2 linked regions of the Caenorhabditis elegans genome follow. The protein of the gene in region 2 purifies or fractionates together with the protein of the main gene of each other region. This does not show direct contact. Each region holds a gene or a part of one and is shown on either strand. Other genes may lie near its edges.

Region 1 (5,074 bases), 5.6 Mb from region 2:
GTGCGTCTGCATGTATGCGTTTCTCTTATTGTCTTTGGGAAAACAAATATTATAGAGACGGCAGAGTATTCTCTTGAATGGTGCTTACATTGGCTTGCACCAACGGCAGATCCTCCTGTTCGGAATGCAACCACACTTCCTGCCGGTTGAGCAGTAGCTTCACGATTGGCCACAACGACAAGAAGACAGGCAAAGAGAACTCCTCGCTGAGAATTCATTGTTGCACTTTTGCACAATGATGAAAATATTCAAAAAGGTCCGTATTTAAGGTAAGTTTCATTACCTTTCTCAACTACCTTTGAACTTTTCAAAGTTCATATTTACGTTAAATAGTAAGCTTTTAATTGTCAGATCTTTTCAGGAACCGATGTTATTAATGAAAAGTGATACAAAAGTTATGATACTTGACACCTTTGACGCAGCGTGGCCAAGATGCAGATCAACAAGACTCCTAGAGCTTGTAGTTAGCCTTAAAGCAGCTGAAATTGTCCACACCTGTCAGCATGAAATTTGTCCACACCTGTCAGAAATAACTAAAACTCGGTGTTTGACCATGGTTTGCATTTTCAGGCCAAACTTCACGAACAAAGTTCTGAAAAATCAGTAGGAGGTTTTGCATACAAAACTAAATATTCAAGACATTTGGTCAATAAGACAAGTAAACATATTTGCTTGTTAGGACATCCTCAGAATGTGTTTCAATACTGCTCACTTCTGGAGGACTATAGAAGAACAAAACACTTTCAACACGATGATACAGTAACGCTGATGATTAAATAATGTATTTATTGGATTCACAAAACATTCAAACTGCCAATGTTAAAAATAACTGTTCATAGTAGGGCTCCCATGAGGTCGCCGCAAAGGCGCCTTCGCCGGCCTCAGCGGTCGCCGCGCCGGCCTCACGGCGTCACCCACGCCGCATGTATAGTGAGACACTACGTTGCACACACACCAAGCTACTCATTTCACACTAAGCTGCGGAACCCCGAACGTGTCGGCCGCTTCAAATAACTACCTCTCGCACTGCATTTCACACACACAGCGGCGTGCGGCGTCGGCGCGAGGCCGGCCGGCGTGAGGCCGGCGTGAGGCCCGCATTCCGCGCCTCACTTAGCTGGGAGCCCTAGTTCATAGTAACTGCCACAATGGTGAGGAGAACAACTGGACCGGTGGCTGAGTTGGGCTGGGCTGGCTTGGTTGAGTTGGCTGCTGGCTCCGCTGTTGTGACGATTTTTGGGGCCTCCGTAGTTGCGATGTTGACGGAAGGGTTTTCACATTTGTCTGACGGAGGGTCTATGCGAGCTCCCGTGACATCTCCTGTTACTCCTACTGGCGGTCTTGCATGTTGAGCAGTAGCTCCACGATTGGTCACAACGACGAGAAGACAGGCAAAAAGAATTCCTCGCTGAGGATTCATTATTACAAGTCTGCACTTTGTTGGTGAGAACCAAAAAGTTTGCTATTTAAGGGTATTTGATCATCTTTCTCAACGACCTTTGAACTTTTCAAAGTTCATACTCACGATAATTTTTGTAAAAATTCAATTTTTCAATGAACTTTGATGAGCTTTTTTGCTGATAGAATATATTTGGAATTTTGGAAGTTGCGATTTCCTAATTTTTCACCTATTGAATAAGTTAGACAACATGTTGAAAAGTTGCTTTTAACTTATTGCAAGCTAACTTTAACATTGATTTATTAAAAAAATTTCGGAATTCAAAATCCAAAATCGTATTTTTGGAATAACGACGGCAAACATTTACAACAACACTGGCAACTACCCGCACAAACTTCCGATGTTGGGAACTTTTACTATTGCTCGTTGCCATAAAGTGAAGAATGTCAGTTGAAAGTCAATTTGACTGCCCTCATGACTAGTTATCAGTGCTTTAAAAAATTTCCATCAGGAGTGTGCCAAGACTCAATTTATATTTTATTGAACAGACGTTATCATTATTCGTCATAGGACTTAGTTGAACAACTTTTATTGTTAGGAATAATATTGCTCACACTTAATTCATTCAAAAAATATATAAAAAGTTTCCAGCAGTGGCGCTAACTCAGTTTTCCACTACTTTTTGACTCGAACTAAAAAATTCCAAAATGTTTTGAAACGTTTTATAGTTACACTTTAATTTTATTATATTTTTGAATATATCATCAGTAAATTCCCAATTTTTTTAAAATCAAGTGGCCGGCACTGAAGTATTTTGATATAAATATTACAGATGTGTCTTCAAGCCGGAAAAAAATTATTTCAGTGGTCAAGGACAAAGTCATCAGCGGGAGAAATTGTGAAACAACTAACCGTTCCATTACGAGAACATGCAGAGCCAATCGTTTTGCTGACGCCAGAACAGAAAAGAGAAGCAGTTAAAGTGAAAATTCAAGAGGTATTCTAGAAGATAATTGTCACAATGAGCTTTAGAAATCAGTAACATAAAAAAATTCGGAGTGTTCAAGGGTCGTTAATTTTACAATTTCAGATCGAACGGGCAAAAGGACAACTACCATTTTTTGACATGTTTATGAGAGAGCACACTTATTTGAGGATATCTCTAACGGAAAAATGCAATTTCCGTTGCCTTTATTGCATGCCAGCCGAAGGTATTCCACTCAAGCCCAAAGATAAAATGCTCTCAAACAGTGAAGTACTAAGGCTTGTAAAGTTATTCGCTGCACATGGTGTTGACAAGGTCAGACTGACAGGCGGTGAACCTACTATTCGGAATGATCTTGTGCAGATTGTTGGTGAGTTCATTGTGAACGTATAACTACAATGATGAAACATAACACGTTGAATTTTCAGAAGGGATCTCCTCTACTCCAGGAATCAAAGAAGTTGGTATTACAACAAATGGTCTTGTTTTGCCGAGGTTTTTACCCAAGTTGAAGGATGCCGGATTGACAAAGGTGAACACATTTTTCAAATATATGTAACTGTAAAAATATAAGGTCGCTCTTGTGAATCGTTGCCGGAGACATTTCAATAAATAATTCTAGCTGTTGATTCCTATTTCATATCTACCTGAAAATTTCATCGATTCAGATCAAACTATGATCATAGTTAATAATGTATTTTTTCAAAAAGCTTCTGGTTCTTACATTTCAACCAAAACTAATTTTTTTTAAAGTTGCCTCGATTTAGATAAACATCAGCATTGATTCGCTTGATCGTGAAAAATTTGCTAAGATGACAAGACGGGATGGATTTGACAAAGTTTGGAAGGCAATTGAACTAGCGAGAGGTTATTTTCCAAAAGTTAAAGTGAGTTTCAATTTCTGATCATTCTCGATTAAAAAAAAACTATAATTTTTTCAGCTGAACGTTGTTGTTCTTAAACACCAAAATGAGAACGAAATTGTTGATTTTGTGAATCTAACTAAAGGTCGTAACCTTGACATCCGATTCATAGAGTTCATGCCTTTTGGCGGTAACGAGTTCAAAAATGACAGTTTCATGAGCTATCGAGAAATGCTGAACTTAATTGTTGATAAATATGGGGATGCCGTCATACGGTTATCCGACTTACCTAATGACACAACTAAAGCTTATAAGATTGACGGATTCCAAGGACAATTTGGGTTTATCACCTCGATGTCAGATCACTTTTGTAACACTTGCAATAGGCTAAGAATAACTGCTGATGGAAATTTGAAAGTGAGTTGTTGACAAATGTAAAGAGTATTTTTGAGATGTGAAACTGGTGTAATTAGGTGAAACTGGTGTAATCATATTTATAAAAAATTTAAAATAATATATAAATTAAAAGAGTTTGGACATTGTAGACTTTTAAACGTACAAAAAGACATTCTAAATTTATCAAAAATTTTGAATGCTTCAAAACATTTTTTCAAAACATTGATTAATTTAAGGTATGCCTCCATGGAAATTCCGAAGTAAGTCTACGTGATAGAATTCGTTGTGGTGACTCTGACGCAAAGCTTTCCGAGGTCATTCAAACAGCCGTGGACAACAAAAAAGCTAGACATGCCGGTAAATAACCCATCAGACAAGTTGGATTCAAAAAAATTCACTTTTTAGGAATGGACGCTCTGAAAAACTTGCCAAATCGTCCAATGATTCTTATCGGCGGCTAACTCAAGGTATTAACTTTTTTTTCGGATTTTTTAAAGCTTAATTCTCATTTTAGTCGCATCACCATCTTCAATACATGTTCACTTTAGTGGTTATGCAGATATTTGGCGGGAAATTTCTTCGGTCACCTTAAAATTGATATTATTATGTTTTGTTCAAATCTAAAGTAAATAAATGTTTTTTTTACGGTCAAGTCTCAAACATTATAAAGATTGTTCTAAACTTGACTAAAATGAAATAATGACAAGATAATGTTTTTAAAATATCATTTACTTTATATACAGGGTGACAATTAATTATGGGAACTCGTAAAAACGCCATAAAAACGTTGAAACTTGAGATAATGCTACAAAAAATGTTACTGTTGAATAAGAAAATATTTCTAATTATGAATTCTTAAAAAAAATAAGTTTGTGCTAATCTCTTCTCCAGCGACGACAAGCCTCCGAAATCTTAGTAGATTGATTGCACAGAGCCGCAAGCTTTTGGTACATAACAGTTCTAGAACCTTCTGGAAAATTCGAAAAAATTCCTGACAAACAAAGTTCTGAAAAAACGGTCTGAGGTTTCGCGTACAATGCAAGCTATTCAAGAATGACATTTGGTCAATAAGACAAGTGAACATATTTGCTTGTTAGGACATCCTCAAAATCTGCTTCAATACTGCTCACTCCTGGAGGACAATGTGAAGACGACAAGACTTTCAACACCGTGATAACAAAAACTCGTGATTAAATAATGTATTTATTGGATTCACAAAACGTTCAAACCGCCAATGTTAACAATAACTGTTCATAGTAACTGCCACAATGGTGAGGAGAACAACTGGACCGGTGGCTGAGTTGGGTTGGGCTGCCTTGGTTGAGTTGGCTGCTGCCTCCGCTGTTGTGACGATTTTTGGGCCTCCGTAGTTGCGATGTTGACGGAAGGGTTTTCACATTTGTCTGACGGAGTGCCTTGCACAATTGCATG
Region 2 (4,291 bases):
AATTTAAAACTCATGTGTTCAAAGTAAACTCTGCTTTCAGACATTCCACTAGGACGCAACGCACGTTTGCTATAATATTTACGTAAACAAGTAGATTGAGCCGAATTTCTACAGCATATGAATGTATTTAGACAAATTATGTCGAAAGTGTTCTTTCCGTGAAAAAAAACATGTAATCACGCTTAAGGAAAAAATGTAATCACGCTTAAGGAAAAAACACAAAACAAATGATTTCCGAGTAAATCCATATGTGCATGGTATGGAAATTTGGCCCCTTTCAGTCACCTTTGCTTATTTTGCAGAGTTTTTAATAAAAAGTTGAAAACTGTCAGTTTACATTCCACTTTTAATAAAGTAATGCAGACACAGTTATTGAGAAATAATAGTATATTTCAGACCAATTAATCAACGGCCAATAGGATTTGATCCACTGCCAAATTACCAGTACCCACCTCCTCCTTATCCACCAATGATGTATCCTCCGCCGTCGTATAGTCTGATGGGACGAGTTGGAAGTATGACTGATAACATTCTGGATAATGTCATGGAATTTGTGTTAGGACGTCGACGACGCTGAACTATTGCGAAGATTTGATTTATTTTTTGTTGCAAAATGAAGAAAATGACAACTTGAAATATAAAAAGTCATGAAAAGATAAAACAAAAATACACGTAAAACGTTTTTAAGAAAAGGCGGTGAAGGAAGGGAAAATAACTTAAGACTGTGGGTGTTGGGAATAAGTAGAAAACTTAAAATGTGAGTTAGGATTTAATTGGGTTAGAAACAGGAAGTTGAAATTCTGATTCGAAGACACCGGCTCAGAACTGAATTGGGCATAAAAAGTGAGTAAGCAAAGAAACAAAATTAGAAAAAAAAACAAATAAAGCAAAAAAGCAAAATCGATCGATCTTAAGATTGAGAAGGAAACGAATGAAAGGATCAGATCATCGGAAATGGGAGAGATTTGATAGAAAGGCATGAAGACAGATTGAGCAGATCATCTAGTTTGACATCCGACAAATTCAGACAGTTTCAGCGGATATTCTTGTACTACTTTGAACTTCTTCGTGTTGTAAACCTGAAAAATTAACATAAAAGATCGATTTATATTTCAACAGCAAAGTTGGAATCCTATTGAAAATTGTTACTATAGAGTCGCTATCGAGAGAGTTATGAATGCTCTAAAAGCTGATACGTATGCTGAACTCAAGATATAAATTTTCCCGATAATTTCGGCAATTGGCGTTCTCTGAAAATTTAAACTTATCGGAAATTGACGGGGCTGCCGATTTTCGTAAATATAAGTACTGTTTAATTGAGAATATCGCCAGCGGAAAAAAGTGGCCGACTGCCGAAGATTTTAATATTGCGGAAAGAATACCTTTAACTTGTTTGTCTTGGTGTACATCAAAAGTGTTTCTCCAGCTCCGTTGTACACGATTCCCAGTAGATCCCTTGGCAGATTTGGGAAATACTTGCGTGTGTGGCCTGTGAATGTGGCTAAGTTCCAGTATGCGTCGTAGATGATGAAGTGTTCACCCTGAAATCATTTCAACCATGACAAGAAGGTTTTCTTAAGATTGATATCAACTCACACTGAGAACAACTTGATTTCCATCGGCCCATTCAAATGCTGACAATGGATGGATTGTGATGTTTCGGGGAAGATCTTGTGGGGTATTTTTCGCCAGCTGGAATCTACGATGTTTTCTGTTCCAACGGAATCTGTATGCAGTTCGTCCATCAAAGAGAATTGTGACTCCAGATCGAGAATTTGTCAATGCGGCGGTCACAGTTCTCGGTCCTCCAGCAAAGAATTCACTGATCAAGTAAGACGCTTTTTGTGGAAGTCCGTCTTCAAACCAAATTTGATAAACCCTTTCGCGAGCAAAAACATAGGTTCTTCCATTGATTCCCTTTGTAATTGCATCGAATTTTTCAGGACAGACATCAAATGACAGAGCCATTGCTTTCTTTGGAACTTCAGCTTCTTTCTTTTTCGGAACAACATGAGTGATTCTCCATGGAGCAAGGATCAAGTCACGACGTTCACGTCCAAGGACGACTTTCTGCTGACGATGCTGCTTGTTTTTTCTACGACGGACTGTTGGATCTTGTCCACTGGCACGAATCATTTCCCATTTGGTCTGACTATTCATACGTGGCAAAGTTGGAACTTCTTCCGAATTTACTTCGTATTGAGGTGCGTCATCTTTGTCGTCGATCATCTAGAAAATAAGTAATATAACATTTGTTTAAAATTAGAAAATTCCTTCTATAAGAAGGCTGCAACAATAAAATAAAATAAAAAAAAACAGAGACTTCGCTAGTTCACTTCTAAATTTCGGACAATGTATTTCTTCTTCAGATTACTAGTTTTCACTCATTGAAGCAAATTTTTTGAAAAGAGCTTACTATTGGATCCGATTCGTGTTTGTAATAGGTGTCTCCAATTTCTGAATTGACCATTTTGTCCACGAATCGACTCTCCACCGTTGTCACCAGTATCAACAGCAATACCACCAGTGGCTTCCTCATTCTGAAGTTAAAATAATGTTTCTTCATAAATATTTTACAATGAAGAGAGGGCACGGAAAAATGAAAAAGACAACATGGTTTCCTCCAGACAGACTCAAACCACGCCTCTTTCATACACACGGCCAACACACATTGAGATGGTGTCAGGCAAAGTGTCAAGTAGAGACAATGTTTGAGATGAAGAGACAGAGAACATAGAAGAGGTATGTGGCAGATGAGCATTTTTTAAATTGAGAAAAGGCGAGAACGAGCAAGATAGTTTCAAAGGACAGAAAAGGAGGAAAAAAGTGAGGTCGAACGGAAAACTTTTAAAACTTTCAAACATGAAAAGGAAGAATATTTGAGCAAATAGGTTTGATAAAAATTTGATACAGTTAGGAAAAAAGAAGAAGATGCCCTTAAAATCAATATTGTATTTTATCTTATATGAAACTGAACCCGCTGAGTTGTGAATTTCGGACTATTACGATCAGATGTTTCACATCCTACGTTTCAAGTTCTATTTGTCATATTCTTTTTCTTAAAACCTCTGCCCTTCCAACAGTCTAGAGTAAAGTTACAAAAAGAATCCTTGATGACACATTTCTCACTCCTAACCTTCAATATCCCCGTTGTTAAAAAGCAAGCAACGTAAACATTTTTCCATTATCTACCATCGGCTACCATTTTATTTTTACAAATTTACGATCAAAAATAGATTTTTCTAAACAAAATCATGAGATATCGTCTGGGACATCAAAGTAATATAGCCGACGGCAATTTGCAAAATATGAGAAATATGAGAAGATCAAGAGAGGTATGAAACCACAACGTCTGCATTAACAAGTACCCCTATTTTGCATAACACGAGATTACGATACGTGCGCAAAGAAAACGAAAGAAAAGGACAAGAATAGAAGAGATGAGGATGGTAAATGTGTGAAAAACGGTTGAATTACCAAGTCAAGTAGGTTGAAGAAATGATTTCTTACGAGAAAATGTTGGGTATGACATCTTGCAAATGTCTAGACTTGACTTGAAATAGTAAAAAGGGTCAAAAAATTAAATTTTCATGCGAAGTGCTTTTTATGTTTATTGTACATGGTTTTTACGAAAACGATGTTCAAGTGATATTTTGAATATATTTTCTGTGTTTTAGATAATTCTAAAAACTTTTTTACGACTTTTTCCATAATTTTTGTATACGTTCATCTGAATGAATATGAAATTTCAAAAAGAAGAACTCTAAAGGATCAAACACCACAGTCTATGAAAGTTTGAATAGAGAATAACATTGATATTTTTCCCCATTACTCTCATTTCAACTCCATACATATCTCTTTCTTTCCCGTTGCTCTTCAACTTTTCTTTCTGATTTGAACGTGTTTGCGATACAAAAGAGCCGGGAGGTCTTCCTCGCCGCTGAGACAGTCGCCACCCGCCACATGAAATTATTTGTTCAAATTATGCCTTGTACAATAAGTGTGCGGCTCCTTGTTCAACCATGACACTTTTGTTTTCCGAAGAACAGAGTGGCTCATGCATCGGTCGTGGGGCAAGTCGGCTGAACACTGACTGAAAAGCTTGGCTCGGCGCGTGAAGTGTGCTCATCAGGAATGACGAGTTGCTCTTTTGTAACTCTCCGACAACATGTCTTTTGACTTTTTTGAAGGAAAGTCGGCATCAATACACACACACAAAAAGAGATATGGTGATTATCTGGCTCTCACGTCCACTCGTTTGCAAAAGCGGTGTTGGTTGCCATAAAAGGTT

The links.
Region 1: the proteins of K03B8.6 (region 2) and F49H6.5 fractionate together in Caenorhabditis elegans (co-fractionation; one large-scale study listed by BioGRID). This does not show direct contact.

The regions. Positions count from the first base shown.
Region 1 is NC_003283.11:17,021,244-17,026,317, forward strand, and holds F49H6.5 (GTP 3',8-cyclase), read left to right. Parts: upstream 1-1,997; 5' UTR 1,998-2,231; coding exon 2,232-2,396; intron 2,397-2,489; coding exon 2,490-2,754; intron 2,755-2,812; coding exon 2,813-2,916; intron 2,917-3,151; coding exon 3,152-3,271; intron 3,272-3,325; coding exon 3,326-3,664; intron 3,665-3,879; coding exon 3,880-4,000; intron 4,001-4,048; coding exon 4,049-4,104; 3' UTR 4,105-4,284; downstream 4,285-5,074. Other genes in the region: F49H6.12 (MS Related Protein), read right to left, coding at 89-218; F49H6.8 (MS Related Protein), read right to left, coding at 1,127-1,420; F49H6.15 (uncharacterized protein), read right to left, coding at 4,895-5,074.
Region 2 is NC_003283.11:11,405,833-11,410,123, reverse strand, and holds K03B8.6 (uncharacterized protein), read right to left. Parts: upstream 2,541-4,291; 5' UTR 2,540-2,540; coding exon 2,417-2,539; intron 2,230-2,416; coding exon 1,597-2,229; intron 1,542-1,596; coding exon 1,383-1,541; intron 1,080-1,382; coding exon 999-1,079; 3' UTR 581-998; downstream 1-580. Other genes in the region: K03B8.8 (Conserved secreted protein), read left to right, coding at 397-577.